4 linked regions of the Astyanax mexicanus genome follow. The protein of the gene in region 4 interacts with the protein of the main gene of each other region in a pairwise test. Links are inferred from orthologs where the notes say so. Each region holds a gene or a part of one and is shown on either strand. Other genes may lie near its edges. The genes, in order: bcam, txndc12, tma16 and klhl2.

Region 1 (7,829 bases), on a different chromosome or scaffold from region 4:
ATAGATGGCATGTAATACATTCTTTATACCAGTATACTAAAAAAAAAAAATTATTACATGCATCCATGTGTTGAGACAGTGAGACTTGCTCTGTTTACAAAATAAATCTTTTTCTAATTATCTAAATATTTGAATGTGTGTTTTAACTAAAATTATATAATATTATTGTATAAATTAAGTAATTGTAGTGAGGTGATATTGTATGCAGAAATTAAATAAATGATACTAAAAGAAAGGATTGATTCAGTAAAAATAAATGAAGTAAAGTTTAATAAAAGAAAGGATTGACTGAAGTTCAGTTCACTTATTTACTCTATATTTACTCAAGTCTTGAAACCGAGCTGAAGCTACTTAAATTTATCTGAAATTAAACTTACTTAAAAAAGCAAATGTAGAAAGTTGCAGGAAATTTAACTACACTGAAAAAAATTACGAGTAAAATTTACTTAGATTTTAAGTAAATTCTAAGTAAATTTTACTCTTAATTTTTTTCAGTAGTTAAATTTCCTGCTACTGTAAATCAATTATAGAATTATAGAAAAGCACAAATACTATGGTTCCATTCCATCACATTCCTACACGAAAATACAAAATAAAGCCATAACTGTCGGCCATATTGTCAAATTTGCAAATAGAGTCTGTAAAATTGACCAGATGAGGAGTCAGATTCACCGACTCACCTACTGCTAGTTCTAGCAGGAAACTGCAGTGCTCGTCACTTGTCACAATCTCAACCAATCACCAGCTTCCACCTGTCTTTATAAGACTTTATAAGACTTCCTGTTAAAACTGCCCCTGTTCTACCAGTCCAAGTCTCAGACTCAAGTGTCTCAGACTGCCTTCATTGAGTTTTCAGCACAGACTAAAGGACCAGAAACAAAGCAGATGTAACAGTAAAATGCCGTTTCTGTATTTTATTATGCTATAGTTTATATTTGCATTAAGTTACAGTAGAGGAGAGACTCCAAGTGGTCAAGTAGACCACCAAGGTGATGCCACTATGATCAGGAGATCGCTGGTTCGAATCCTGTTCATGTAGGCGGTGGTTGACTTCACATGGGTTTCACCCTGCTGGTGTGTTGGGGCAATAACTAGGGAGTCCTATAGGGGTTTGGGTAATTGGCTGTGTAAATTGGGAGAAAATGGGATAAAAATTAGCATAACTGCATACACAGCAAATCAAGCATGATATTATGATTATCTATAAGTTTCTATACCCATTATCCATATATTTCCATATAGGATCACTGCACACTTTATTATCCTTATCCTTGTATCAGTTTTGTAATTATTATTTTCAATACACCAGGTTTTGAGACAGGGCCATTGTCTCATACAGATATTGTTTTTCTTTAATCTTACACAGGAAGAAGTCTATACTTGAGGCGTGTCTGAAACTTTACCAACGGAAGAGGAAAACCAAAAAAAAGCCCTGTGATAAATAGATAAGCATTTCCAGAACCCTGTAGGATCTGAGAAACCTCACCTCACAACAAAGGCTGCAACTGCACATAACTTACAGGAAGTGTGCAGTCATTACTTGAAGTAACTGAATAATGCAAAAGAGCATTTTCATTATTGCAAGGGCAGTGGAATTTATTATGTGTTATGTAATAACATTATTTAGAGGTGGGTAGAGTGGACAGAAACAGAACTGGTGTAAAAGTACTTTTATTTATAAATAATGCTTACTCAAGTAGAAGCAAATAAAAACATCTTGCAACATCTTGCTGCAGATGCTCTTTGCACAATGAGAGGCTCTATGGTAGAGTAATGCAGAAGAAGCCTTTTCTGAGCACACGCCACAAACAGAGTCGCTTCAGGTATGCTTAAGCACATTTGAACAAGCCAGCTTCATTTTGGAATAAGGTGCTGTTGAAACTTGGTTTATTTGGAGGGCAGTTATTTATGCATGGCAGAAAAAGAACGCAGCGTTCCAAGATAAACACTTTACTGCTCCCCACAGTAAAATTTGGTGGTGATTCCATCATGCTGTGAGGCTGTGGGACCAGTGCAAGTACTGAGAATCTTGTTAAAGTTGAGGGTTGCATGGATTCCAGTCAATATCAGCAGATTCTTGAGAACAAAGTTGAAGAATCAGTGAGAAAGTTGAAGTTAAAGCGCCGGGGCTGGATCTTTCAACAAGACAACGACCCTAAACACTAAACCCTAAACACTGCTCAACATCTACTAAAGCACTAAAGTATTCATGCAGACGAATAAGTACAACGTTCTGGAATGATCATCTCAGATCATCTCAGTCCCCAGACCTGAATATTATTGAAATATAATCTGTGGTGTGATTTAATGCGGGCTGCTGTTCATGATCAGAAACCTGAATCAAACCTGACTGAACTGGAGATGTTTTACAAAGAAGAATGGTCCAAAATACCTTCAACCAGAAGCCAGAGTCTCATTGGAAGCTGTAGGAAGAGTTTAGATGCTGTTATTTCTGCAAAAGCAGGATCTACTAATCAATTAAATATTGATGTCTTTTTCTGTTTGGTGCCTTTATTTAATACTTTATTTACAGTACCTGTCAATTTTCTCCTACATAGTAAATAAATAGTGGCGTGATCTATCAGACTATAAAGGACCACATAAGGAAGTATGTAGTAAATTAAAAGTGTTAAACAAACCAAAAAAGGCCGGTAACTCTGAAGAACTTATCCTATACAACCGAGAAACTCTTGCTCTTCCTTTCCCTGGGTGATCCTGATGAGGGCCAGTTCCATCATAACCTTTTCGATTATCTTTTTATTTATTATCAAGCTAAAAATGAAATAAAAAATATTTTCGGTGTTTGTTCGAATAAGTGAATAAGTCTAATAACTCATACTAAAATGTTGTGTTTAATTGGTTTAAAGATCTGAAACTGTGAATAAATCAGGGTGAGAAATTTTTTTCTCAGCTCTGTATACACAGTGTATTCATATAGTTAGAGAGAGTGTTTATGCTGCTCCACCACTGTAGCGTAGCTCCGGGGGGAGGGTCACCTTTTGTGTAAATATATCAACCAAAGCCACTGCCGCCCTCATCAGATTTCCAAAAGAGAGAGAGAGAAAGAGAGAGAGAGAGAGAGAGGTGTAGGAAGAAAGTAAGTGAGGGACCATCTCTAAACACAGTTTACAGCATACAGTCTATTACTCGTTATATTTCTTCTGTCCTATTATCTTGTAAAAGTGTTAAATACAGCTTTGGGATTACAAATGTGAATAATTATCATGCTAATAAATGTAGTGGTAGAGAGAGTGAGAGACTGGAGCTAGCTAGAGGTAGAGAAAGAGAGTGATGGAGGTAGAAAGAGAAAAAAAAAGTCGTGAGAGGAAAAGAATGCCAAAAAGTGAATATAGAGGTGGAAAGAGAGTGAGAGAGTGGTTAAGAAACAGGTAGAGAGTGGTAGAGGTAGACAGAGAGCGAGAAAGTGATGGAGAATGAGAAAGCATTAGAAGGATAGAGGTAGAGTAAAGCCCTATCAGGATGGGATTAGTTTCTCAGGGGGTTCTGGGGTAATTTTCTCTTTTTTTGGAGGGTCCTCTGTGATTTTATTCCCGTCCAGAACGACCATATATGTGTTTTTCTCAGACGTCCTCTGAGATAAAAAAAATTACAGACTAAATTGTCTACTGTTTTAATACTGTAAACACAACAGCGAGTGGAAATGGAGGAGCTACTGAACGTGATGTCATGTGACCGAGAAAGCCAAAAAAACTCATTGGTCCTCCTGTTTTTCAATTGCAATTGAGTAAAAGTGTGAAATATTTTTCACAGACGACCCCCTGAGAAATTAATCTTGTCCGGATAGAGCTTAAGTGAATTTAGAGGTAAAAAGAGATTGTATTGTATTGACTGGTTTTATAACTGTGTAAATATGATGTGCCCTCAAAATAGAACGTTTATGAGAGTGAGAGAGTTAATTAATGCTCGGGCAAAACTGTAATTTACTATGTATATATATATATATATATATATATATATATATATATATATATATATATCAATACAATGATATCAAATATCAATTACAATGATAATTAATGTCTAATTTAAATGTATCAAATTATTTATGTATATGTGAATTGTTTATGTATGTTATAACTGATCAATTATTATTCTTTATTTTCTTCAATTAATAATTTAATTAATTAATGCTTTGGCAATACTGAGAGAGTGGTAGAGAGAGAGAGAGAGAGAGAGAGAAAGAGAGAGAGGTAAAGAGCAGTAGAGGTAGAAAGAGAGAGAGAGAGGTAAAGAGGTAGAAATAGTGAGTGAGAGAGTGGTAGAGAGAGAGAGAGAGAAAGAGAGAGAGGTAAAGAGCAGTAGAGGTAGAAATAGTTAGCGAGAGAGTGGTAGAGAGAGAGAGAGAGAGAGAGAGAGAGAGAGAGAGAGAGAGAGAGAGAGAGAGAGAGAGAAAGAGAGAGAGGTAAAGAGCAGTAGAGGTAGTAGAAAGAGAGAGAGAGAGAGAGGTAAAGAGGTAGAAATAGTGAGTGAGAGAGTGGTAGAGAGAGAGAGAGAAAGAGAGAGAGAAAGAGAGAGAGGTAAAGAGCAGTAGAGGTAGAAATAGTGAGCGAGAGAGTGGTAGAGAGAGAGAGAGGGAGAGGTAAAGAGCAGTAGAGGTAGTAGAAAGAGAGTGATTGGGTGAGTGAGTAAAAGAGAGTGGTAGAGAGAGAGACAGACAGGAGGGAGGGAGGGGGGTGAGAAAACAGCGCTGGTGGGTGTGTGTGCGCGCGCAGTGCGGAGTGTGTGTGTTGGTGTGTGAGGCTGAGAGGAGTCTTCTCACCGAGGCGAGACGGACTGAAGAGCCGCAGCGGAGCAGCAGGAGAGCCGGAGAAGTTTGTAGAGGAGCAGCGATGGCGGGAGAGACTCTGAGGAGCGCGCTGGTGGTGCTGGTGGTGCTGGTTTTGTCACTGGAAGGTAAGAGCAGGACTTTCTCTGGGCTTTTTATTCTTTTAAGAGACTGTCCCCGGTCTCCTGCGTGCGCTCTGAGCTTCACACACTTAGTTTTTAAGCTTTTATCCGGTTTCTGACAGGGAATGTATCGAGTCAGCGTGTTTTTCTGTGATTGTTTGGTATTTTGGATATTTTGGTTGGTTTGGCGCCACAACCTGTTCCTTACAGAAGCGCGCACGGCTTGTATAGACAGGCGCGCGCTTTAAATGGCTCGAGGCGAAGGATTTTTTCCACAAAACGGATTTAAAACAATATGAACAACCCAAACTTGCGGAGTTTAATTCGGTTTAGTCCAGATTAGGATTCTAAGGAGGGTTAAATGCCAGGAGGGTTGTGTTGTGGCGTTTTACCCTGTCCTGCAAAGACGCGGAGGCTCCGTTCAGCGCGTGCGTGTGCGCGCATGCACTGCACTGCACAGTGCGCGAGCGTGTGTTTGTGTGTGTGTGTGTGTGTGTGTTGTAGCGGCCCGTCTCTTTGAGGTTCAGAGAAGCTCGAGGGACAAGAGCCACACCGAGAAGAGAGATATATAAAACAGTAAAAAGAAAAACGAGAAGTGAAAGAAAGTGTGAACAAAGGGACAGAGGAAGAGAAGAAAGTGATGGAAAATTAGCGAGACGTCGAGGAAAAGCAGAAAAAGACAGACAGAAAAGTCAGGTGTGCAAAGATAAAAGAAACAGAGAGAAAAAAAGAACTGTAGAGAAAGAGAGAAGAGGAGAATAGAGGGAGAAAGGGGTGTAGAGAATGATATAAAGAGTGGTGTAAAAAGAGAGGCGGGTGTAGAGAAAGAGATTCAAAAAGGTGTAGAGAAAAAGAGATATAAGGAATGAGAGAGGGGTAAGAGAAAATAGAGAAAAAGAAAGAAAGAGTTGTAAAGAATGAGATAAAGAGTGGTATAGAAAATGTGAGTAGAGATGTGTAGAGAATGATATTAGGGAAAGAATGAAGAGAGGAAACAAGAGAGAGAGAGAGAGAAAGGGGTGTAGAGAGTGAGATAAAGAGTGGTGTAAAAACAGAGGTGCAGTGAAAGAAAGAGGTGTAGAGAATGAGAGTGGGAAAAGAGAGGAAGAGAGAGAGGTGTAGAGAATGAGATAGTGGTAGAGTGGTATGGAAAAGAGGGGTGTAGCGATTGAAGAAAGAAAGACATGCAGAGAAATAACAAAAAAGAGAGAGGGGAGAAAAAAAGAGTGTGAAGTGAAAGAGGGGTAGCGAAATAGAGTAAAAAGGAGTGTAAAGAAAGAGAAAGAGAGAGAGAGAGGAAGATGTATGAAGAAAAATAGAAAGAAAGATAATTTGGTGAATTATTGTTGGTGTTGTTTTGCTGATGGTGTTCTACTGCCTGATGGACCGATCAGAGAGAGAGAGAGAGAGAGAGAGAGAGAGAGAGAGAGAAATAGAGAGAGGGAGAGAGAGAGAGAGAAAGATAGAAAGAGAGAGAGACAGAAAGAGAGAGAGAGACAGTTTATGACACTCAGACTTGAGCAGTGCTAAAGAACACAGTCATTTTTAAACAAACACTTCAGTCTGATCAGCAGCACCTGGACAGACTGGGCTCAGGAACAGCTGGAGCAGCGCAGCTGTTAGATGAGGGTTATTGATATTAATCCTGGCGTTGGATCAGGATTAAGCCTTGGATTAAGCCTAGACCTGCCAGTGGTTCCAGTTGTGACCATTACAGATTATTCCCAGTCTAGATTTAGACTCAGTTTCAGAATCACTGGAATTATAATAAAACGAAGACCCTTATTTCTCTCAAATTTGGTGCAATCTGTCTTTTCTTTCTTTTTTGGTTTTCGCTCCCTGGCCGCTCCCCTCTGCGTCCCCCCCCCCATACCCCTTCGAACCCCCTGCTCCTCCTTCCCTCTCTCTCACTGCGCTTCTTTTTTATGCCTCTGCCTCTTTTTTTTCTGCTTTACTGTCTGTTAAATATATAGTACTGCATGATATACAGGGGTTGGACAGTGAAACTGAAACACCTGGTTTTAGACCACAATCATTTATTATCCTATCGTGATTTGATCAGCCGTGGTTTTATGTTTTTTTTGGATACAATCTGGATTAGCACCCGAACATCCCTTTCAGACAGCTTCCTCTTACAGCGTCCACAGTTAATCCTGTTGGATGTGGTTGGTTCTTCTTGGTGGTATGCTGACATTACCCTGGATACCGTGGCTCTTGATGCATCACAAAGACTCGCTGTCTTGGTCACAGATGCTCCAGCAAGACGTGCACCAACAATTTGTCCTCTTTTGAACTCTGGTATGTCACCCATAATGTTGTGTGCATTGCAATATTTAGAGCAGAACTGTGTTCTTACCCTGATAATTGAACCTTCACACTCTTACAGCTCTTACTGGTGCAATGTGCAATTAATGAAGAATAGAATGAAATAGCTTTATGACGTGTTTTCTCAAGGGCCATCTTGGAAACATCCACTCTTGGTGTTCGTAAGTTGTGAGGTGCTATCTTGTGAGGTTGAAAAGATGCCAAGTTAGCAAGTAATGCTAATGCTTTGTAGGTTATCGAGTTTCGAAGATATAAAGTTTGAACAAGGCCTGATAGATGTCATAGAAGGCACTGTCCACACCCTGCCACTATGATTGGGAGATCACTGGTTCGAATCCCAGTCATGCAGCTTGCCATCAGCTGCCGGAGCCTTGAGAAAACACAATTGGCCTTGCTCTCTCTGGGTGGGTACAGTAGATGCCGCTCTTTCCCCTCATCACTCCAAAGGGTGATGTGGATCAGCACAAGGCTGCGTCTGTGAGCTGATGTATCAGAACCGAGTCACTGCCTATCAGCTCTTTTTTATTGTATCTGCTGCTTTCCATCAATTTGCCTTCAAACTCTCCTCCAACACATGTTCTCCACACCTGTTCCTG
Region 2 (8,049 bases), on a different chromosome or scaffold from region 4:
AAACCGAAACGTGTTAATTCCCAGTGCTGCACAACTCTGATTCAGGCTGCTGCTTCACCTTTGATAATTCTTTGGAAATTACAACAATAACCCTTTGTTTACTCTGGTTTCGTCTGTAATGACGGGCTGCTGTTGGGTGGGGAAGTCCCCTGTTGTAAGGAGCTGAAGTGTATATATATACCGAAGAGGACGAATTGTGGCATGAAGAAACTGGAACATTGCTCTCTTTGTAGCCATGCTGACCACTGTGTACCACTGTAAGTAGTAAACTTACACTTTTCTCTATTGTTCATTATCTTTGCATCTGATTGGCTAGGCCATTTTTGCAGCTTCTTGCCTTCTTGCCTGAGTTTTGGGCAGTATTTTCTGGTCTGAGGATCTGAGGGTCTGAGCATCACTTCTAAAACATCTTTGTCTGGCTTGTTAGATTTCTTACATTAACACATTTTTAATGTGGCAATTGTGTTGTTTTTACAATACTGAATAATACTGAAAGGTTAGTTCCGACCCAGCAATGTGATTGAGGTTGATATGCGCTCTGTGAGAGCCATCATCAGCCGGTAATGCACTGTAACCAATGCTCTACATGTATTACTCCACCACATACAGATAACCTAGCAACCATGCAGCGCTTTCAAGTCAAATAGCGCAGCTACAAACGGAGCAGCAATGGAACTATTTTAACTCAGAGTTCTTGATATTGACTTAATTGGCTTAATTTTGAATCAAATAACATTCTACTGTTGAGTTTCATAGTTTTGAGTTTCATAGATTACCAATTGAGTAGGAGAGAATTTTGTCTAGTCACTGTCGGATTGAAGCAGACTTTTAATGGGCTACTCAATCAACCGACAGTAGTGTAGACAAGAATCTAGATTTGCCCAAAGTCAGAGTAGGACCATTTATTCTGGATTATCATTGGATAACAACTAAATTAGGTCAGAATTAATCAGTTCAGTGGTGTATATTCCTGCTGAAACTGGGCTACTGTTGGTTTGGGACAAAATTAAGCCAGACCACTGTCAGGTTTAGAGAGGATGCTCCTGTGCTAAAGTCACGCTGGGACAGATTTACTGTATGTCAAACTACAAGCAAGGAGAACTACAGTCGAGTTATGGCAGAGTTATTACAAGTCAAGCTTTTGGCAGCCTTAGAGGGAATTTTGTGGCCCTGCAGTTGAGTTTTGACAGATTTACTGTAAGTCAGACTACTGCCAGGTTCAAAGAGGATTCTGATGGGCTACAGTAAATCAGATGAAGGTTGGTTCAGAAAAGAGTTTTGTTAGAATAATTTTTTTTTGTGGTTTATTTGCAGACTCCTTCCTTCTGCTCCTGTCTTCCTCAATATGGAGGCTGGGAGCTCCAAATCCTGTGGGATCACAAGCATCACCACTCCAGCTTGATAGAAACACTTGCAAGGGTCTTGCACGCTCTCTGCTTTGGAACGTGACAGAAACACTGGCAGACGTACATGAGGCTCAATTTAAACTCCTTAAATCTATCTAAACCTATTATAAAAATTGTTTGATTGAATGATGGAAAACCAATAAATTAAATGCTCTACTGTTGTCTCTGCGTAGGACCAACTGTTCAGGGGACTGAACTGCACAGACCAGAGTGCCGAGCTGCATAACAGGACCCAGACGGTAGCAGTGTGCATTCCACAGGTGAGAGGAGTAGAGAGGTTCTGTACTAAATTAAGTCAGGGTGGTTTAAGAACTGAATATATACAAAGATATGGATAGATAATGGGGTTCCAAGAGGGGATTGGTAGTTTTCTGCCTTATATTTGGGCAGTGCAACATTTATAATTAAAATACAGCTATCAGTGTGTAGTCTTTCCCCACAGACTCATCCTCCCTTATAAAGTTTTTTAATTTATATTATATTGCACTTGCCTGGCCTAGTTTTTCACACCTATAATAGCATGTTAGAACTCAAAAGCTGTTTAGCGTGACTGTTGGCTGAATGCTACAAAGACCACTCATGTCTTGTGAATTGTTAATTGTTAAGTCACTTATGCAAAAATATGATATTATTTAACGTAATCAATTTAAATTAAGTGTAGATGAATATACTAGATGAAGTACACTCAAGAAACTAAACAAAAACAAAATACCTTCCATTCTCTATTCAACAGCATTCAAAATGCTCAGAGGGCCAAGACTACACTTTCAATCAGGTACACTGTTTAAGTCTGATATAAATAAATAAATTACAGGTTTTCTTGACATTGCTTTTGCCATCATGCCTTGACACCCTGTTTATCTGCTGTAGGATGCATGCCTCCACAGTGTTCTGGAAGATCTCAAGCAGTTCCGAGCAACGTTTAAAGCCTACAGCGATCAAGGATATGTCCTCAAACAGACGGTGCTTAGCAGCATTGATGACCTCATGCAGGTAAGGATTGGACAGTTTGCACTGATTGGTTATTTTATTATCTAGCATACCACAAACAGTAGGTGCACTTTTAGCTTTTGTATGAGCTTATATACTTATATACGTCTTCTAGCACACATTTTGCAACCATCATGCTACCACAAAATCTGAATGGTCCAATAAAATATGCAGTGTAGAGTAGGTTAAATAAGCATTAATACACTCGAGGTTCGTGCTATAATGTGTAGTACTGTTACATATTAATACATGTTATAGCACAAACCTTGAGTGTATTATTGTGATTATACCACAGCTCCATTATCACTGTTTATTGAAAGATTTTAAAGATTTAAAGAGGAGGAAATAGGATCTGTTTGGTTATAAACACTCCGCCAGTTAAAATAGTTCCATTGCTGCTCTGTTTGTAGCTGTGCTGTTTGGCTTGTAAGCGCTGCATCATTGCTTGGTTACCTGTATTTGGGGGAGTAATATATGGAGCGCTTCAGTCACAGTGCATTACCGGTTGATAGCGGCACTATTAGAACACCTCTCAGCCAATCACATTGCAGGGTCGGAACTAACTGTGGTATAATAAATCATAATTAACACAGAGTCAGTAGACTAGACCAGAGACCAGTAGACTAGACCAGTCCAAAAGCAATAACTTCAAGTCAGTCACTCCAGGATCAGAAATAGGTATTCTTCCTTAAGGAACTCTGGTTTAAAGAACCATTTGTAGCATATTTTTAGGAGTTTACTCCAATAAAGCTAGCAGTAACACTAAATATACTAATCTTCATTCTTTGTTTTGTACAAACAGAACTGCTTCTCTGCCACACAACTGGACAGCTCTCAAACACTGGTAAGAATAATTTGAGACTTGTTTATTCAAACATTACCAAATGAACGATTTATATTCTTTAGTTTCAGTCATTCATCACAGATGTTCTGCTGTTGCTCACAGGTTTCCATGGAACATGAAAAATCCTTCAAGGGAAGACTGAAGCTCTGCAAAGTTTTGAAGGCCTTCCATATTCGTGTTATCACCATCAACCGAGTGGTGAACCATATCCTGACTTTGGACGCAGGAGCCAATTAATAATCACAAAGTTATAATTGATATGTGATATTCAGGCAAACAAAAAAAAAAATATGTTTTTGTCATTTTGACAAGCACAAGTTAGCCTCATTGTTTTAGGCTTTATGATATGCAGTACTGGTAGTGATAGTATTTAAAACTCTTATTTATTTATCATATTTATTTATAAATTATTTAACATTCTATATAATGTATTGTTAAATACAACTGTTTAAAGTTTAGAAATGTTTAAAATGGACTGCTGTACTGCTTTAATACCAAGTGCTGAGAGTTTACCAAGTGTTTTGTCTTCGAAACAATAAAACCTGCTCAATGCAAAATTACATAATTGAGATTAGTGATGATTACAGTTTTAATACTGTTTCAGTTCAATCCTGAAACAAGATGCATATATCTACCAGTGATATTGATCATTTTTTTGGGTGTGCATAAGATAGAGGAGAGAAATGAGAGAGAAATAAGAGAGAGATAAAGAGAGGAGAGAGAGAGAGAGAGAGAGAGAGAGAGAGAGAGAGAGAGAGAGAGAGAGAGAGAGAGAGAGAGAGAGACAGAGGATGTGAGTTCAGCACCCTGGAGAGCGACTGACGGTCCTGGAACAGTGATATCTTCCTTTTTAGAGAATTTAATTTCAGTCCATCTTTGAAAAGTAAATTACATTTATTAGGTTTATTTAAAAAACTTTTTATATAAAAAATATATATATATTTTAGCTTTATTTTTTATTTTAGTTTTAGTATTTACCCAAATTTGTAGCCTCTGACAGCATCTTTCATGTACACAACTAGTAATTTCTCAGTACTAGCAAAAACAAAAAGCCAAATGATTAGAGCGTTATTTTTTTTTTTTTCATCAGTTTTGTTCAGTCTTTGGTTATTTATCTTTGGTTATTTATATATGTTAGTTAAATGTTTTATGTTTAACATCTACAAATAATGATTTCATTTCAGTTTTAGTTTGACCAACTAGTCTAACTTCCCTTTTCTGCTGACAATCTGCACTGCTATTACTGAAGTGAAATCAGTGCAGGTAGGAAGTAAAAGTAATTATTAAATACTAACACAGTATATATATATATGTAAATATCTTGATATTTTTATAAAAACAGAAAAAAATAAATGCCTAAATTAATTTACTTTGACTCAAATTATACAAAATATTATTTTTTTAGCATGATGTCACCTTGCTGCATATCTTTTCAATTTCTTAATTGATTGATATAAACGGTTGCTAATGACTGATTGTGATTTGGATATTTTAGTGTCTGGAAAAAACGGGAGTAAATATAATATAATTATAATTCCATGTTGTTTCAGGGTTGTCAATGACCATTTGGTCATATAGTTAGCTATTGTATCTGATTAGAAATAAAAAATAAAAGAGGTACAGACCTGTCAGTAGACGTTTAGGAGAATGTGGGAGTTTGTTGGGGGTTGTGGGAGTTTGTTGGCGGTTGTGGGAGTTTGGTGGGAATGCGCAGATGTTCCTCATGAACCCATGAACTCCTGGACTCCGTCCCCCTCAGGCAGCTGCTGGATCCGCCGCAGTGGCTCCCTCTCTCTCTCTGTCTGCGTTAAGGCCTGAGTGAAACCATGCAGTCCTCTGTTCTCAGCGTCGCTTTGCTCTCGTTTCTACCATTTTTCATCGCCACGCATTTTAAAGGAGTTTCTGCTGACGGGAGCGGGAAAGGTAAGGCTAAGTCTGCGGGGAAAACACGTAGTTAAATACGGCTGTTTGGCTTTAGCCTGTTGGCTAACCGTCAGTTTGAGGCAGCGGTAGAGAATCCAGGTCCGTGAAATTTAAAAAATACGCTCCGGGATTTTATTCCAACTGCATAGACGGTTCTGCTGCAGTTGAACCGCCTGTGCAGTTGGAATAAAATCCTGGAGCGTCTTTTTTTAATTTACGGACCCGGATTCGTTACCATGAATTGAAACTGTATGTACAGCGATTTCAGTTTTAGTGCAAGATGTATTTGAACATCAATTAACATATCGTAGCGTAAATGAGCTAAGTAACCATTAAAACGGCTTTTTTTAAGTTTTATACGCTGTTGGGCGAAAAGGTTTTTTAGCGTTGGGAAACAGCGAGTAAAAAGAGAGCTAACCTAGCTAGCTAACCAACGCTAGCTATGCTTATTATTAAACTTATTTAAATAACTTAGCTAGCTAGGTTAATCTAGCTGTTTTTAAATAGAGAGCTATATATAAGTAAGTTATACACCACGGGCTAATTTTAATGTGTGTAGTTAGCTATGGTAACGTTAGTTTATCTTATCAGGTTTAGCTAAGCTAAGCTAGCTAGCTTAACTGTATGATTAAACATATTTAATAAACAAGCTAGGTTGGTTAGCTGTTGTTAAATAGATTAATGGCTATAAGCACACACCACATGTTCATTTTAATTTGTGTAGCTATGGTAGTTTAAGTTAAATAACTTAGCTAGCCAGCTAGCTTCTCATTGAGGCTTTTGCTAAGGTAGCTAGCTAGCTAAGCTAACTTTATTATTAAACCTATTTAATAAGCTCGCTAGATTAACTTAGTTAACTGATTTTAAATAGAGCTATAGCTATAAGTATACACCACGTGTTTATTTTAATTTGTGTAGCTATTCTAGTGGTTCTAACTTAGCTAACTGGCTAGTTAACTTCTCATTGAGGTCTTAGCTCAGGTACCTAGCTAACTAGCTAAGCTAACCTAGGTTAGCTAAGTGGCTAAGGTAGGTCTTTGTTTCTGCTTCAGACTGTTCCTGATTTTTAATCTTTCTGCACTTTAACTCGTCATTTTCTTTAGGATTTGGAGACCACATCCACTGGAGAGGTCTGGAGGATGGAAAGAAAGAGGCTGAGGCAAGGTAGGATCATGTGAAATTGTAGTTTAATCATAGCTAGGTTAGGTAACAAGCTACTTATTTACTTCCTTATAGCTGCTTATTCAAGTAGACTTCAGATGGGTCCATGCTGCTCCATAGTGATGTGTATGTATTGTGTTAAATACAGTGGTGGAAAGTAGGTCTGCATCTTATGACTATTTTAGTAGTTGACTAATGCTATCCATACACTAGATGACTACAAAAAACTCTGAAATACTTTTAATAGACTAAAACATCTAAAGACAAATCACAGACTTTTTAGTCATAGACTAAGATTTTGCAAAGACTGGGGATCTTTTAGGGTCACTATTTGCAAGACTGCAACTAGATTCTTCCTGAGATTATGTTATCGATTTTTATTATTGTTGTTATAAATGAGAAGACTTAAACTAACTGGATTTTTATCATTTCATCTCTTCACAGTGGCTTGCCTGTTATGGTCATCATCCACAAGACCTGGTGCGGTGCTTGTAAAGGTAGGTCAATATTTAATCCATGTGGTGTTACTCACGAACAGATTTTGTTGAGCAGTGTTTCTCAGCCCTGACCCTGCTCATTTTATTGTTTACCCTGCTTCCAATACATCTGTTTAGACAAATTAACATGCTGTTCCTGAGTTGAATGTTTAACAGAATGTTGGAACCTGCTGTTGTAACATCATTACTGGTCTGAAAAACACAAAGCATGTAATGATTTTGATGTGATTTAGCTGAAAAGTTAATAATGTAATTTTAACTTTGTCTTTAAGCGCTGAAACCCAAGTTTGCTGAATCTAAGGAAATCTCAGAACTGGCTCACAACTTTGTCATGGTTAACCTGGAGGTAAGAGCTTAAGGCACTGTTCACCTCTTTTAATGAATGTAGAAAACATGGACAGTGCAAATGTATCACAAAAGTGAAGTAGTAGACTGCTAGTTTTATATGGATCTGTACTTTTTTATCTAAAGGATGAAGAGGAGCCCAAAGATGATGCTTTCAGCCCAGATGGAGGTTACATTCCCAGGATACTGTTTCTAGGTAAAACACTAGTTTACATGTGGGAGACGGGTTCAATTCCTGGTCTGGGTGACTATGCTGTGCTAGACCAATAAGAATCCATGGGCAAGACTCCTAACACTACATTGGCCCACCTTTGTAATAGGAATAACCTTGTAAGTCACTCTGGATAAGAGCATCAGTAAATGCTTCCCTGAACAGTAGACAATTACTCCAAATAAACTTTCTTTTTAAATACCCTTGATTTCATATTATGTTTATTTGGCAACAAGAAATGGTTCTAAATCTAGATTTTCAGTAATTAAAGTTAAAATATTTTTTGTTTATTTATAATTTTAATCATTTGAACTATGGACTGTCATGTACAGTTTGTTATTCTGAAAAAAGTTTAGCTATTTTTATATGACTGAATTTTAATCAGTTTATTTATTTGGAGCTTATTGTTTGTAATTACATTCCAGTCCATAAAGATGAAAATGTGTAAAGGTCTAAAAAATAAATAAAATTAACTGCATTAACAAATTGAGGGTTCTTCAATAAAAAGGTCACTAACCACTTCTTATTTCACTGGTTTGACTGTGGGCTTAAGTAAATTGAGACAGGCTGCTACACTATAATGTAATTTAGGACAATATCTTGCACTATTGCAGGGTGAAGGCTGGAGTTATGAGTGGTGAAGTAATGATCATTTATTCTCTTGTAGATCCC
Region 3 (7,535 bases), about 340 kb from region 4:
TCTCATGGGGTGGGTAGATGACGCTCTTTCCAATCGTCACTCTAAAGGGTGATGTTCATCAGGACAAGGCATCTGTGAGCTGATGTATCAGAACCGAGTCACTGCGCTTTCCTCCGAGTGCACTGTAATGCTACTCTGCAATACTGCATTAGCAGCATCACATGTGTCAGCAGGGTTGCCAGGTCTAACAGTATATCCAGCCCAAAGTCAGTCTAAACCCCGTCCTTCAGAAGCTTAAACTAGCCCAAAATATCTGTAGAGAAGACATTTGCGCTCGCTGCAAAAAAATGCTGTAGCATGTTTGTAGTATTTTTTTAATAATACTAAATCCGATTTTTTATGTATTTTTCCTCTGCAGGAACGATCAGCTTCAAACTCTTCAAATTAATTAGAATTAATGTGAGAATATGGAATCTGAAAGCTCTGATACTCTGCAAACTTCATTTGATTCTTCCCACATCAACACATCTCCCAGAGTAATGCAGGAAATGTCAGGCGAAGATAGAATTCACTACAGCGCTGAGTGTGGAAACAGTAATTTTTTTTCTGACAGTAATGATCTTCAGATACACCAGCTTATTCACTCTAGAACAAAGCTGTATCAGTGCTCTGAGTGTGGAAGCAGTTTTTCTGTGCAGACTAACCTTAAGAGACACCAGCGCATTCACACTGGAGAGAAACCGTATCAGTGTTCAGAGTGCGGGAAGAGGTTTACTCAACAGAGTCACCTCCAGCTACACCAACGCGTTCACACTGGGGAGAAACCGTATTCCTGTTTCGTATGTGGGAGGAGCTTTTCTCAGCAGAGTCGGCTCCAGGTCCACCTGCGTGTTCACACTGGAGGTGAACCACTTCACCAGTGCTCAGAGTGTGGGAGGAGTTTTATGGACAGGCGCTGTCTCCAAGTTCACCAGCGCATTCACACTGGACAGAAACCATATAATTGCTCAATTTGTGGGAAGAGTTTCAGTCAACAAGGCCACTTCCAAATACACCAGCGCGTTCACACCGGGGAGAAACCGTATTACTGCTCGGAATGTGGGAAAAGTTTTCAACAACAATCCCATTTCCAAAACCACCAGCGCATTCACACTGGAGAGAAACCATATCTCTGTTCAGAGTGCGGGAAAAGCTTTGCTGTGAAGTGCGGCCTTCAGAAACACCAGCGTCTTCACACCGGTGAGAAGCCACACCAGTGTTTAGAGTGTGGGAAGAGTTTTACTGACCGACGCAATCTTCTCGCTCATCAGCGCATTCACACTGGAGAGAAACCGTACTGTTGCCCAGAATGTGGGAAGAGTTTTACTGTACAGAGTCATCTCACGGTACACCAGCGCGTTCACACGGGGGAGAAACCGTATTCCTGTCCAGTCTGTGAGAAGACTTTCGCTAACAAAGGAAATCTGAACGTGCACCAGCGTATTCACTCTGGGGAGAAACCGTTTCAGTGTTCAGACTGTGGGAAGACATTTAGAGAGAATGGTTCACTTAAGAAACATCTGCGCCTTCATAAAGGGAGCAAAGATGGACAGGATCGAACAGGAGTCTGACGTCTCTGCTGTACTCCGGTACTAAATAAAAAGCTTTAATAACCAAGGCCTAGTTTCTCTCGAAGCATCTTAAGCCCTGTCCGGACGGGATTCGTTTTTTTAGGGGCACTTCTACTCAGTAATAAAACTCTTGCATCCGGACTCCTATTGAAAAAACAGGAGGAACAGTGACATCGTGTTCTCCATTTCCACGCACTGTTGTGTTTTACATGGATCTCCGTGGAAATGCGCACCCAAAGTGTAATTACGGTGCGTGGCAGTGGACTATTTTATTAAACGTGAGCAGACGAAACTCAGAGATGTGCGTCCGGATGGGACTAAAATTACCCAAGGACTATAATTTTCGTCTAAGAAAAACACGTACATGGTGGTTCCCAACAGGAACAAAATCACAGAGGAATAAAAGATAAAAGAGAAAATTACCCCAGGACCCCCTGAGAAACTAATCCTGTTCGGATTGTGCTCATGCATGTGTTTTTCTCAGACGTCCTCTGAGAAAATTAAAGGCTGAACTAGATTGCAGTTCCTACAGAAACTGCGAGTGTGATTGCAGTGCTGGCCGGGGTCCCCAAAATGTTGACCAGTAGCTCTATTACACACAGTACTGGGGGGCCGGGGTGTCCAAACATTTGGCCAGTGGCTCCATTACACACAGTACTGGAGCTCTGGGGTGTCCAAACTTTTGACCAGTGGCTCCATTATACACAGTACTGGAGCTCTGGGGTGTCCAAACTTTTGACCAGTGGCTCCATTACACACAGTACTGGGGGGCCGGGGTGTCCAAACTTTTGACCTAATGCTGTTTTATCCCATAGCTGCTCCATACACTCACAGTACTGGAGTTCTAGCTGCTTATTATTAAGTAAACTGCAATCTCATTATTTTGAGATAGCAAGTCATTATTTAGAGAAAACAAGTCATTATTTTGGGATACTATCTCAATATTTTGAGATACTATGTCATTGTTTTAAGATAGCAAGTCATTATTTTGAGATATCAAGTAATTATTTTGAGATAAGTCATTTTTTGAGATAAGTCATTTTTTGAGATACTAAGTCATTGTTTTGAGATAGCAAATCATTATTTTGAGATATTTAGTCATTATTTTAAGATACTTAGTCATTATTTTGATACTATTTCATTATTTAGACATAATAAGTCGTTATTTTGAGATAGCAAGTGTGTTTGCTTTTGAAAAAAAAAATCTTTCAAAATAATGAATTACTATCACAAAATTATGAGATAGTATCTCAAAATAATGAGATGGTTCCTCAAAATAGTGACTTACTATCTCATAAAAATGAGATAGTATATCAAAATAATGATTTAGTATCTCAAAAAATGAGAAACTATCTAAAAAATAATGAGATAGCAGTTTACTTAATTTAATTACTTTATTTATTTATTGGCTTCATAGTATTCTGTATATTTGATCCGGTTAGTTTCGGTTTCACACTGCAGTTTAGTGACGGAATAAAGAACTTTACTACATCCTGTCGTCATCATCAGCTACATGAGTCTCTCTATTCTTCATTTTAATTATTAAATGTTTATTGTAATTTTAATAGAAAATATTTAAAATATTTATAAGTAAATCTGCAACGGTAAAAATAGAATAAATTTAAATTATATAAATGGTGCTTTCCTTAACTTTATTTTCAAATCAATATTTTCCAGAATACAAATTGAACATTTCCTGTTTGTCTAGATTTTAGCCTATTTTTAAATGTAAGAGTTTCTTAAGTTTAAAAATAGAAAAAAATCTGAAATCTGTCATTGCTTGTTTTTTTGCTATCTGGTTATTTAATGCATTTTTTCATCTATAGTTACTCATATACTGTACCAGTGTGTATCAATAAAAGGCTATTTATACTGTACGAAAGTTGCTGTGCCTTTGACTCCATGATCCTGAAACGTTTCTGTTTTATAATATTTCTATAAATAACATTATGGAGGCCAATTACTGAAGTAATTAGACCGTATTAGTCTTACAGTCACATATGTCATTACCAAACATTGTTAAAATTGTGTCTGAATATTTATCTGTACAAATCTAGCAAACATTAAATAAAAATAATAATAACATGAAGAATATTTTTTATTATTTAAAAGAGAAAATAAAAACACTGTGCACACATGATTTTATATAGTCCTGTCAAAAGTTTTGAAACACCTCTTCTCATTCAGTGTTTTCTTTCTTATTATAATTTCAAAATCAATTTTACAATGCAAATTTTATATATATTGATTTAATATATTTAAATCATTAACATTTTACAGGAACATTTGCATAATTATTATGTAAAAAAAAAAGAGTTTTACAAATCAGAATATGTTTTTAATCAATCTCGGTAATGCAGCGCCTTTACTGCCTAAAAAAAATTAAATATGCAGGATAGAATTTATAGAATTTATTCTTTAAGTAAAATATTTTATTATACTTTATAAAATTAAAGGAATATCGTAGAAGTACTTTATTAATATGTTTATTTGAGTTTTTAGCCGTTCGCTCTCGTGGGCTCCCTCTACCTTTTCTCTCACAGAATAATGACTGATAACCGATAGTCCGCGAGTTATTTACTCTTTGATTAATTCGATTTTTAATTTACTTATTCATGTATTAATTCATATATACATGCATTTAATTATTAATTATTTTATTAATTTATTTTTTAATCTGTTTATTTATACATTTACTTATTTGTGTATGTATTTATTTATACATTTACTTATTTGTATATGTATTTATTTATACATTTATTTATTACAATGTTAATATAAACGCTCCTCTCTCAGCGCTAAGGATCTGTTTAGTGTTCACTATCGGGAAGCGGAACCATGTTTGTGGGGTTATAGTTGAGTTTGTGAGCGGGGGAACAAAAATACAGGCGGACCGAAGCGCGTTTCTGTTCAACACGTGTTTGTCCAGGAGCGCAGCGCCGCCGACCAGCAGCAGCAGAAATATGGTCAGTATACATTACATATTTACTCACTTACACACAAACACACACTGCTGTAAGGTTGGTGCTGCTGTATAACCCCCCTGTGCTGTGTTCTCTCTCTTTCTGCTGTATAACGTTAACCCCCCTGTGCTGTTTTTTCTATCTCTTCTGCTGTATACCTCCCCTGTGCTGTCTTCTCTCTCTCTATCTACCTGTGCTGCTGTATAACTTAACCCCCTGTGCTGTGTTCTCTCTCCTTCTGCTGTATATCGTTAACCCCCCTGTTCTGTTCTCTCTCTCTCTCTCTCTCTCTCTCTCTCTCTCTCTCTCTCTCTCTCTCTCTCTCTCTCTGCTGCTATATAACCCCTCTGTGCTGTGTTCTCTCTCTCTGCTGCTGTATAACCCCCTGTGCTGTGTCCTCGCTCTCTCTGCTGTATAACCCCACTGTGCTGTGTTCTTTCTGCTCTATAACGCTAACTCCCTGTGCTGTGTTCTCTCACTCTGCTGCTGTATAACCCCCCTGTGCTGTGTTCGCTCTCTCTGCTGCAAAATAACCCCTGTGCTGTGTTCTCTATCTCTCTATCTACCTGTGCTGATGTATAACCCCTCTGTGCTGTGTTCTCTCTCTCTCTCTATCTACGTGTGCTGCTGTATAACCCCTCTCTGCTATGTTCTCTCTATCTACCTGTGCTGCTGTGTTCTCTCTCTCTCTGCTGCAGTATAACCCCTCTGTGCCGTGTTCTCTTTCACTGCTGCTGTATAACTTAACCCCCTGTGATGTGCTGTGTTCTCTCTGTCTCTATCCATCTCGGTTGCTGTATAAACCCCCTGTGCTGTGTTCTCTCTCTCTGCTGCCGTATAACCCTCATGCTGTGTTCTCTATCTTTGCAGCTGTAAACCCTCCTGTGCTGTGTTCTCTATTTATCTCTGCTGCTGTATAACCCCTCTGTGCTGTGTTCTCTCTGTCTCTATCTACCTGTGCTGCTGTATGACCCCTCTCTGCTGTTCTCTCTCTCTATCTACCTGTGCTGCTGTATAACCCCCCTGTGATGTGATGTGTTCTCTCGCTCTATCCATCTCTGTTGCTGTGTAACCCCCCTGTGCTGTGTTCTCTCTCTCTCTGCGTTCAGCCTAAAGCAGGGAGGGCGAGGGGGGGCGCGCAGGAGAAGAAGGTGGTCCACCCCTACAGCAGGAAAGCGGCCTACATGGCCAGAGCTGAGGCCAAACTCACCCGCAAAGAGAAGTAAGACCTCTGTGTTCTTTTTTTTTTTTCTACCCTCACTAATTTAGATAATGTTATTATTCTAACTATAGAGCAGGGCATGGACCTCCATAGTCCTGCTTAGAGTGGGAGCACATTTTAATAACACTGCTTAAAAAATCCAGCTCAAGACCAGCAGGTCATCCTGAAAAAAAATGATGGTACTTTTGGCAGTGTGGACAGTGTTCCAAGTTCTGCTGGAAAATGAAATCCACATCTCCAAAAAAAGTTGTCAGCAGAGGGAAGCATGAAGTGCTGTAAGATTATCGGGAAAAACACTGCACTGACTTTGGCTGAACAGTGAGTGAAATCTATAATAATGTTGTTTTGAAAAGTATTTGAATAATATGTTGATTGTTTTTTTTTTTTTTTTTTTTTTTTTTGCAGAGTGAAAAGTGATAAAGCCAGACGTTTAAATTTAATAGGTGAGTAATTCCTCTATTTACCTACCGTATTTTTCGCACTATCCACTATCCACTTCCATCATAATAACTAGAAAAAGACAGAAAGACAGGAAAAGAAACACAGAGAACTCTCTTACTATTGTATTATTCTATTATTATTCTAACTATTAAAAGTTTCAGTGTTTTCGAGAGTTTAGAGGTGAAGCCAGAGAGGAATGAGTACTGTTTCCTACACTTTCAAAAGACTCTTATAAACTGGAGAAAACTGACACTTCAGGAAGAGTCACGTCTGGCTGACCCACATGGCAACAGCTTTAGCCTTTAGCTTAGCTTAACATTAAAGTGAAGAGAAAAAATAGAGGACTGAATGGACTGTTTAGGTGAGAGAAGAGAGCACAGTGTGTTAAGGATCTTGTCTCTGTTCTTTTTTTCAGGGGAGAAACTTTTGTGGTTCCAGAATCAGCTGGACTCAGGGAAGCTAGAATACTCCAAACAGGAAGCTTGTGAAATGATTGAGAGGTAAGCTAACTGCTAATGCCACCAAACTGCTATTCGACAGCGATACACCGAGGAACCCTGAGTGTTTTGGTAAGACAGGGTAACAGTAAAAACGCAGACTACAGTGTGAGATATACTTACCTCTGAACAGCCAAATGGCTAACACAGTTAGTGGGTATTGCTAATGTTGCAACAGCAGTGCTAGCTAGTCGGGGTTAGCAGCAGACTACAGGCTAATAATACTCCCCTCTGAATTGCCAAATGGCTAGCGTTTAGCAGCTAATGCTAATAAACTACTGGAGAACTTAACTGAAACTCCTGTATAACTCAGTACTTCAACAGAGTGGCTTTACTGCTCCTTAATACCTGACTGGTAAAATTTATACATAAGGTGCACTGACAATTTTTGGGAAAATTGAAGTATTTTAAGTGCAAAAATACAGTACTTTGGTTGCGATAATTTGGGAAGTCCAACAATCCCCTTAATATCTTGAGAAGCCCTTACAATCGCCTACAAGGTGATGACAGAACAGGCTCCTTCCTACCTGCACTGATCACTCCTGAAGGCTTACGCTACCTCCCGGCCGCTGCGCTCCTCCAATGAACGTCGCCTCGCTTTACCAAACAAACATTCACACAAAGCAAACCAGACTGTTCTCATACAGAGTTCCCCAATGGTGGAACAAACTATCTTCCACTACCAGATCAGGAGAATCTCTCACTATCTTTAATAAACTCCTGAAGACAGAGCTCTTCAAAGAGCACTTACTCTCCTAACACCTCTAACTAACTACCTTCTACTACCAGATCAGGAGAATCTCTCGCTATCTTTAATAAACTCCTGAAGACAGAGCTCTTCAAAGAGCACTTACTCTCCTAA
Region 4 (7,588 bases):
AGAGAGAGAGAGAAATATATACTGTTTGAAAGTAACATTCAGCTGCTGTGAGTTTGAATGACTGACCAAGAATAAATACTGTAGCAACGGAACGAATCCCTTGTCTCGCCTTGTTTTTGATTTGTTCTGCTTCAAACAAACTTCCTAGGGGTGGTCCTGATGAGTGCCAGTTTCACCATTCAACGTTTTAGATGGTCTTTGGGGTGACTGCACTTGAAGTTCTTGAATTTGGTAAAAGAGTGTATAAAGAGTGTGTAAAAGAAACACACAGCATTTCTTTATATACCGTTCTTAAAAAATACAGAGATTTTACCAGTTTTTACTGTATATAAAAACGTGACATTTACACAAAAACACACAACAAAGCTTTATTTTTCTATTTCAAACAAAATTCCTGGGGTGGTCCTGATGAGTGCCCACATCATCCCACACTTTTGATGGTCTTTTGCGGTGACTGCCCTTGGCTGCCTATGGTAAGAGAGTGGAGTTTACACAAAAACACACAACACAATTTTTTTTATACAGTTTTCAGAAAATACAGAGATTTTACCAGGTTTTACTGTGTAAAAGAGTGGAATTTACACAAAAACTCAACACAAAATATATATATATTTTTTTTTTCAAATTTTGTTTTTCACAGTTTTTCACTTTTTTTTCCTGCTGAAAACAAAATTGCTGGGATGGATCCTGATGAGTGCCAGTTTCACCATTCAACGTTTTTGATGGTCTTTGGGGTGACTGCACTTAAGGATACTTTTTAAAGTTTTTGAATATGGTAAAAGAGTGGAGTTAACACAAAAACACAACACAAAATAAAAAAAATAAAAAAAGTTATTTTTATTTTTTTTTAGTGATTTTTATACAGTTTTAAAAAAAATAGAGATTTTACCAGGTTTTAATTTTATATAAAAGAGTGGAGTTCACACAAAACAACGCAACACAACACAAAATTTGAGAAAATCACTACTTTTTTTTCCACTGTTTTTTTTTACAGGGTTGTCCTGTTGAGTGCCAGTTTCACCATTCAACGTTTTTTTGATGATCTAGGCAGTGACTGCACTTGAGGATACTTTTCAAAGTTTTTGAATATTTAATTATTCATGTTTTTATTTTCAGATTACACACGATATATCGAGGGAAACAGTTACTTTGCAGTAATTGTCCTTTATTAGGTATATTTTGCAATATAGAAAAATATAGTGATTTTACCAGGTTTTACTGTGTATAAAAGAGTGGAATTTACACAAAAACACAAAAAATATATATATATATTTTTTTCACAAACAAACTGATGAGTGCCAGTTTCAGCATTCAATGTTTTTTGATGGTCTTTGCAGTGACTGCTCTTGAGAATACTTTTCAAAGTTATTTATTTATTTATTTATTTCAGATTGACTGACCTTCATTTCTTAAAGTCATTTTTTCTTTACTTAGTTGACTACGCTTGGCCATAATTGATTATACACGAGAGGAAGTGTCTTAACGTGTAACATTGGAATAATTAAGCGCCATTATCAGCCGGTAATGCACTGTAAGTGAAGCTCTCCATGTTTCCACAATATCGCAATGTAATTGTTACCCTGCAATGTAATTGGCTGAGAGGTGTTCTACGAGTGCCGTTGTCAGCCAGTAAAGCACTGTAACTGAAGCACTCCACGCATTACTCCTCTGCATACAGGTAACCTAGCAACGATGCAGGGGTTACACGCCAAACAGCGCAGCTACAAACAGAGCAGAAATGGCACAGCAGTGACAATATTACACATTATAGCACGAACATCAAGTGTATTATTGCGATTATACCACAGTTCCATTATCACTGTTTATTGCTGATAACGACACTCATAAATTTCCTTAAATTTTCTATGGGATTAATAATAAAGTATCTATCTATCTATCTATCTATCTATCTATCTATCTATCTATCTATCTATCTATCTATCTAATTAATCACATTGCAGGGTAACAATTACATTGCAATTATTGTCCTTTATTGGATATATATTGCGATATACAAAAAAAAAATGCAGAAATTTTACTAGGCGTCACTGTGTAAAAAAAAAAAAAAGAGTTTACTCCATTAAGAATTTACCCACAAAAACACAACACAACAATATATATGTATTGCAATATCAAAAAATACAGAAATATTTTACCAGTGGAATTTACACAAACACGTGACACAAACGATAATGCTCATCATTCTTAAAAAGGAGGAGAAAATATGATCTGTTTGGTTATAAAAACTCAACGAGTTAAAATAGTTCCATTGCTGCTCTGTTTGTAGCTGCGCTGTTTGGCTTGTAAGCGCTGCATCGTTGCTAGGTTACCGGTATGTGGCGGAGTAAAACATAGACAGCTTCGGTTACAGTGCATTACCAGCTGATAATGGCACTCATAGAACGCCTCTCAGCCAATCAGATTGTAGGGTCGGAACTAACTGTGGTAATAATATAGATTAGAACATTACTCAAATATGGCTATTTACTGTATACCACCAACTCTACTTTGCTACTTTGAAGAATGTGAAATATAAAACATATTTTCGTTTGTTTAACACTTTTTTGTTTATTAAATAATTCCATATATTTTTCTTAATAGTTTTTATGACTTAAGTATGAATCTACACTGCAGAATTAAAAAATAAAATAAGAACTTCAATATGGATTCAAATATGCTGCAGATGCAGCAACACCACAGACGACCACTAGAGGTCAGTGTTTCTACAACTTACAGAAAAATGTATTTTTCTTTTTTTTTTACGTGTATTAAAACCGAATAAACCAAATAATGTTTAGATAAAAAAAAAAAAAACATCTGTTCCACTGTACGAAAAAACAGCTCTGGAGAAAAAAAAGACCACTTAATAATTATGAGTTTCTTTGTTTTTACCAAATTGAAAACTTCTGGAATATAATCAAGAGGAAGATGGAGGATCAAAAGCTATTCATCAAACCAAACTGCTTGAATTTTTGCACCAGGAGTAAAGGCACAAATCCATCCAAAAGCAGTGTGTAAGACTGGTGGAGGAGAACATGATGCCAAGATGCATGAAAACTGTGCATAAAAAACAGGGTTATTCCACCAAATATTGATTTATGAACTCTTAAAACTTTATGAATATGAACTTTTTTCTTTGCATTATTTAAGGTCTGAAAGATCTGAATCTTTTTTGTTATTTCAGCCATTTCTCATTTGGTAGAATTTGGTAGAAATGTTATCCATAGTTTATAGAATAAAATAACAATGTTCAATTAACTCAAACATAAACCTCTAAAAATCAGAGAAACTGATTCAGAAACTGAAGTGCTCTCTTCATTTCTACCACAGCTGTATATTTGTGATATCAAAATATACAGAATAAAAACATTTTATTAAACAAAGTTTTTCACTTACTGACGTAATGTGAATCTTTACATTGTTGTTCCTTACAGTGTATCCAAATCTCGTAGTGGATAAACTAATGGAAACGTTATAATGACTTAACGCTAATGCTAATATGTTAGCTTAGCCAGCTACGTTAGGTAGCCAAGTTATAGGTAAGGTGAAGTGGAGGTGGAATAACACACGACACAAAAAAAAAATTAAAAAGACACAGAATATTGCACGGGAAATAGCAAATTAACTAAATACGATAAGAATAAAAAATACAAATAATATGAAATAATGTGAAATATGTCACTATATTGCTGCTACAAATCGTGTCTTCCAAAATCCAAATAGTGGATAAACTAATTGAAATGTTATAACGACTAATATGCTGATGCTAATAAGTTAGCTTACAAGACACAGTACATTAAAAAGACACAGAAAATGGCACAGAAAATATCAAATAAGATAAAATTAAAACAAAAGAATGCCATGCGATCGGTCATTTCTTATAGGGGACACAATTTGTTTAATTAATTTTTACATGATAATAAATTGTATAAATGTGACACACGAGATTTGTAACCATATTCGACTTAAAAACTTTGTTAAAAAAAAAAAAAAAAGGAAATTAAGTAAAGCTGCCTAAATTTGACCAGTACATGTTCTGAATATATGTTAAATATATGTGTTCCATAGATCCAGAGTTGAAAAAAAGATTTTTAAAAAAATTAACTTTAATTTGGAAATTTAATTTGGTGGAATGGGCCATATATTTTTGATATATATATATATATATATATATATGTATGTTTTTTTTTATGCTGAAGGTCCTCCCTGACTGTGGGGGAGCTGTGGTGCGGGTCTGCTGGTGGGTAAAAGCAGTGTGTGTGTGTGTGTGTGTGTGTGTGTGTGTGTGTGTGTATATGAGTGTGTGTATGTAAATTAGTGTGTGTGAGAGTGTGTGCTGGAGGTTCCGTGTTTTCTCCCCCTGAGCTGCTCTGAGGGGGTTTATAGAGGTGAATACAGGACTCAGTGAGTGAGTGAGAGGCTGGGTGAGTGAGAGCGGGGGGCCGGGAGTTTACCGCGGGCTCTGCGGGGACATGGCTGCTGCTGTCCGGCTGCACTAGCGGCGCCTCTCCCGGGGAGCCGCTGCGGACTGAACCGAGCGGAGCTGAGGATGGAGCGGAGCTGATGGTGTCCGGAGCCGCGGCCTGCCCCAACACCCCCACCGCCATGGAGATACAGCCCCTGTAAGAGCTCCCATATACACACACACACACATATATATATATATATATATATATATATATATATATATATATATATACACACACAAACATGTACATGGAGATACAGCTCCTGTAAGAGCTACCATATACACACATATATACACACACACACATATATATATATATATATATATATATATATATATATATATATATATATATATATATATATACACACACACACAAACACATACATGGAGATATAGCCCCTGTAAGAGCTCCTATACATATTTACACACGTATAAATACACACATATACATGGAGATACAGCTCCTGTAAGAGTTCCCATATACACACATATATACATGTATACACACATATAAATACACACATATACGTGGAGATACAGCCCCTGTAAGAGCTCCTATACATATATACACACACATATATATGGAGCTACAGCCCCTGTAAGACCTACTTTACACATATATACTAACACACATTTGTACACACACACATTATTTATATTAATATATAATAGTGTGTATATGTATATGTGTATATATATGTAACTCACATGTAAAGACACACACACACACACATATATACACACACACACTGTCTGTCTGTGTCTGACTGTCTGCTGGTTGTCATGGTCAACATGTTCACGTGGGTGTCACATGCTAGAACTTTGGCTATTTGGATTCTAGGTAGGTTCCAGGTAGGTATAGGCTCTAAGACCTGGGATTGGGACCATCATTACTACAGTCCACCTTAATCTGACATACTTAAGTATTAGACACCCCAGCCATCAGGCTCATGTGGGTGTCACATGGCTAGAACATGGGCTAGATGGGTTCCAGTTGGGTTCCAAGTGGTAATAGGCTCTAAAGACTGGGACCATCATTACTAGGTCTCATCTTAGTATTGAGCATCCCAACAAACCTGTTCATGTGGGTGTCACATAGCTAGAACATGGGCTAGGTGTGTTTCAGATGGGTTCCAGGTACATCCAGGTGGGTATGGGCTCTAAGACTTGGGGCTGGGACCATCATTACTACAGTTCACCTTATTCTGACATGGGTCCCATCTTAGTTTTGGTGATCCCAGCCAACAGGCTTGTGTGGGTGACACATGCTGCAACATTGACTATGTGGGTTCCAGGTAGATCCAGGTGGGCGTGAGTTTTAGATACATGGACTGGAACCAGGTGGGCTTTCCAAATGGCCACATCAACACCACAGACCATATGGGTGTCACATTGTCTGGAACATGGTATAAGTGGGTTCCACACCCAGGTGCGTATAGGCTCTAAGTACTGGGACTGACAAGGGTTCTATTATAGGATTTGACATAGTAACCAACAGACACATGTGGGTTCCAGGTGGTTATAAGCTCTAAGAACTGGGACTAACATAGATCCCATCTTAGTTTTGCACATTCCAGCCAATAGTCATATGGTCGTCACAAAGCTAGAACATGGGCTGGGTGTGTTCCAGGTGGTTATAGGCTCTAATTACTGAAACCACCATCCCCAAGTCCTATTTTAGTATTGGACAATCCAGCCAACAGGCTCTTATGCTTCCAAGGGTAGAACATGGGCTAGCTAGGTGGGTTTTAGATGGGTTCCAGGTGGGCATAGGCTCAAGTACTGGGTCTAGGAGTGGCACTATCATAACTACAGCACCCCTTAATCGCACATAGGTCCCATATTAGTGTTGGAAATTCCACCAATCGTGCTTTTCAAATGTGCTTAATCAATACCACTGACCACCTTAATCTCACATGGGTTCCAAATTATTATTGAGCATCTCAGCCAACAGGCTCATAAGGGAGTCGCATAGCTAGAACATGGGCTAGGTAGTTTCCAGGTGGTTATGGGCTCCAAGTACTGGGACTAGAACCAAGTTGGCCTAATCTCACATGGCTCACATTTTAGTATTGGACATCCCAGCCAACAGGCTCATAAGGGAGTCACATAGCTAGAACATGAACTAGGTGGGTTCCTGGTGGGTTCCAGGTGGTTATGGGTTCCAAGCACTGGGACTGACTTAGGTCCCATCTTAGTTTTAGACATTGAAGCCAATAGTCTCATGTGGGTTAGATCATGGGTTTGGGTGGGTTCCAGGTGGATGTAGGCTCTAAGTACTTAAACACCCATTACTAGGTCCTATCGTATCATTGGAAATCCCGGCCACATGGCTAGAACATGACTTAGGTGGGTTCCAGGTGGTTATAGGCTCTAAGTTCTGTGACCATCCCTACTAGGTCCCATCTTTCGTATTGGACATCACAGCCAAAACATCCCTGTGCTACCAAAGATAGGACATTGGCTAGCTAGGTGGGTTTCAGGTGGGTTTCAGGTGGTCATGGGCTTAAAGTAATGGGTCTAGAACACAGATGTGGTAGTTACTGAACTGAGGTCAGTAGGAAGACCTCACTAAGACTAAGACAGATGTGTTTATCTAGCTGACTGGCCTGTGCTGCTGGGCTTGCTGGTTGTGTCATCCTGACAGATGTTCAGTGTTCGTCATGTCGGTGCTCTCAGGGCAGCAGATCAGACCAGATGTCTGTGTCACCATATATAAACACATATATAAACACACAGCGTCTGTCAGACTGCTGATCCTCAGATGCTCTCAGAACAGGGCTGTGTGATATAGCTAAAAACTATTATACATCACAATATATATTTCTTAATTACAGTCGATATGGTATAATTCTGATGCCAATATTAACAGTATAAAAGCCGTCGACTGTGGTTTACATAATCACACACACCCACACGGATAGAGCTAGGCGATATGGTGAAAAATATTATATCACTATATTTAATTATATTTTGTAACTACTCTAGGGGTGAACAAAATGGCCCTAAAATAATATTGCGGTATTTCAGGGTATTTTTAAAAATGATAAGTGTTACAAAAAAATCAACAAAAATAAAGTAGCGCAAGTATATACAGTATATAGCAAAACAAATACA

The links.
Region 1: the proteins of klhl2 (region 4) and bcam interact in binary tests that used the Homo sapiens proteins (3 or more experiments, as listed by UniProt). The two-hybrid records come from large-scale screens. The link is inferred for Astyanax mexicanus from reciprocal best matches to the Homo sapiens genes KLHL2 and BCAM.
Region 2: the proteins of klhl2 (region 4) and txndc12 interact in binary tests that used the Homo sapiens proteins (3 or more experiments, as listed by UniProt). The two-hybrid records come from large-scale screens. The link is inferred for Astyanax mexicanus from reciprocal best matches to the Homo sapiens genes KLHL2 and TXNDC12.
Region 3: the proteins of klhl2 (region 4) and tma16 interact in binary tests that used the Homo sapiens proteins (3 or more experiments, as listed by UniProt). The two-hybrid records come from large-scale screens. The link is inferred for Astyanax mexicanus from reciprocal best matches to the Homo sapiens genes KLHL2 and TMA16.

What each region holds. Positions count from the first base shown.
Region 1 is NC_064413.1:3,418,787-3,426,615, reverse strand, and holds the start of bcam (basal cell adhesion molecule), read left to right. Parts: upstream 1-4,714; 5' UTR 4,715-4,850; coding exon 4,851-4,914; intron 4,915-7,829. UniProt on the Homo sapiens protein: Transmembrane glycoprotein that functions as both a receptor and an adhesion molecule playing a crucial role in cell adhesion, motility, migration and invasion.
Region 2 is NC_064415.1:56,283,632-56,291,680, reverse strand, and holds the start of txndc12 (thioredoxin domain-containing protein 12), read left to right. Parts: upstream 1-5,024; 5' UTR 5,025-5,066; coding exon 5,067-5,163; intron 5,164-6,266; coding exon 6,267-6,327; intron 6,328-6,768; coding exon 6,769-6,821; intron 6,822-7,093; coding exon 7,094-7,167; intron 7,168-7,292; coding exon 7,293-7,362; intron 7,363-8,044; coding exon 8,045-8,049. Other genes in the region: zmp:0000001127 (interleukin-12 subunit alpha), read left to right, coding at 1,254-1,466, 1,580-1,666, 2,277-2,399, 3,199-3,240, 3,343-3,477. UniProt on the Homo sapiens protein: Protein-disulfide reductase of the endoplasmic reticulum that promotes disulfide bond formation in client proteins through its thiol-disulfide oxidase activity.
Region 3 is NC_064432.1:9,699,603-9,707,137, forward strand, and holds the start of tma16 (translation machinery-associated protein 16), read left to right. Parts: upstream 1-4,395; 5' UTR 4,396-4,513; coding exon 4,514-4,516; intron 4,517-5,622; coding exon 5,623-5,735; intron 5,736-6,140; coding exon 6,141-6,178; intron 6,179-6,591; coding exon 6,592-6,676; intron 6,677-7,535. Other genes in the region: zinc finger protein 239, read left to right, coding at 408-1,550. UniProt on the Homo sapiens protein: Involved in the biogenesis of the 60S ribosomal subunit in the nucleus.
Region 4 is NC_064432.1:10,037,110-10,044,697, forward strand, and holds the start of klhl2 (kelch-like protein 2), read left to right. Parts: upstream 1-4,274; 5' UTR 4,275-4,563; coding exon 4,564-4,622; intron 4,623-4,993; exon of another isoform or gene 4,994-5,016; intron 5,017-7,588. UniProt on the Homo sapiens protein: Substrate-specific adapter of a BCR (BTB-CUL3-RBX1) E3 ubiquitin ligase complex that mediates the ubiquitination of target proteins, such as NPTXR, WNK1, WNK3 and WNK4, leading most often to their proteasomal degradation.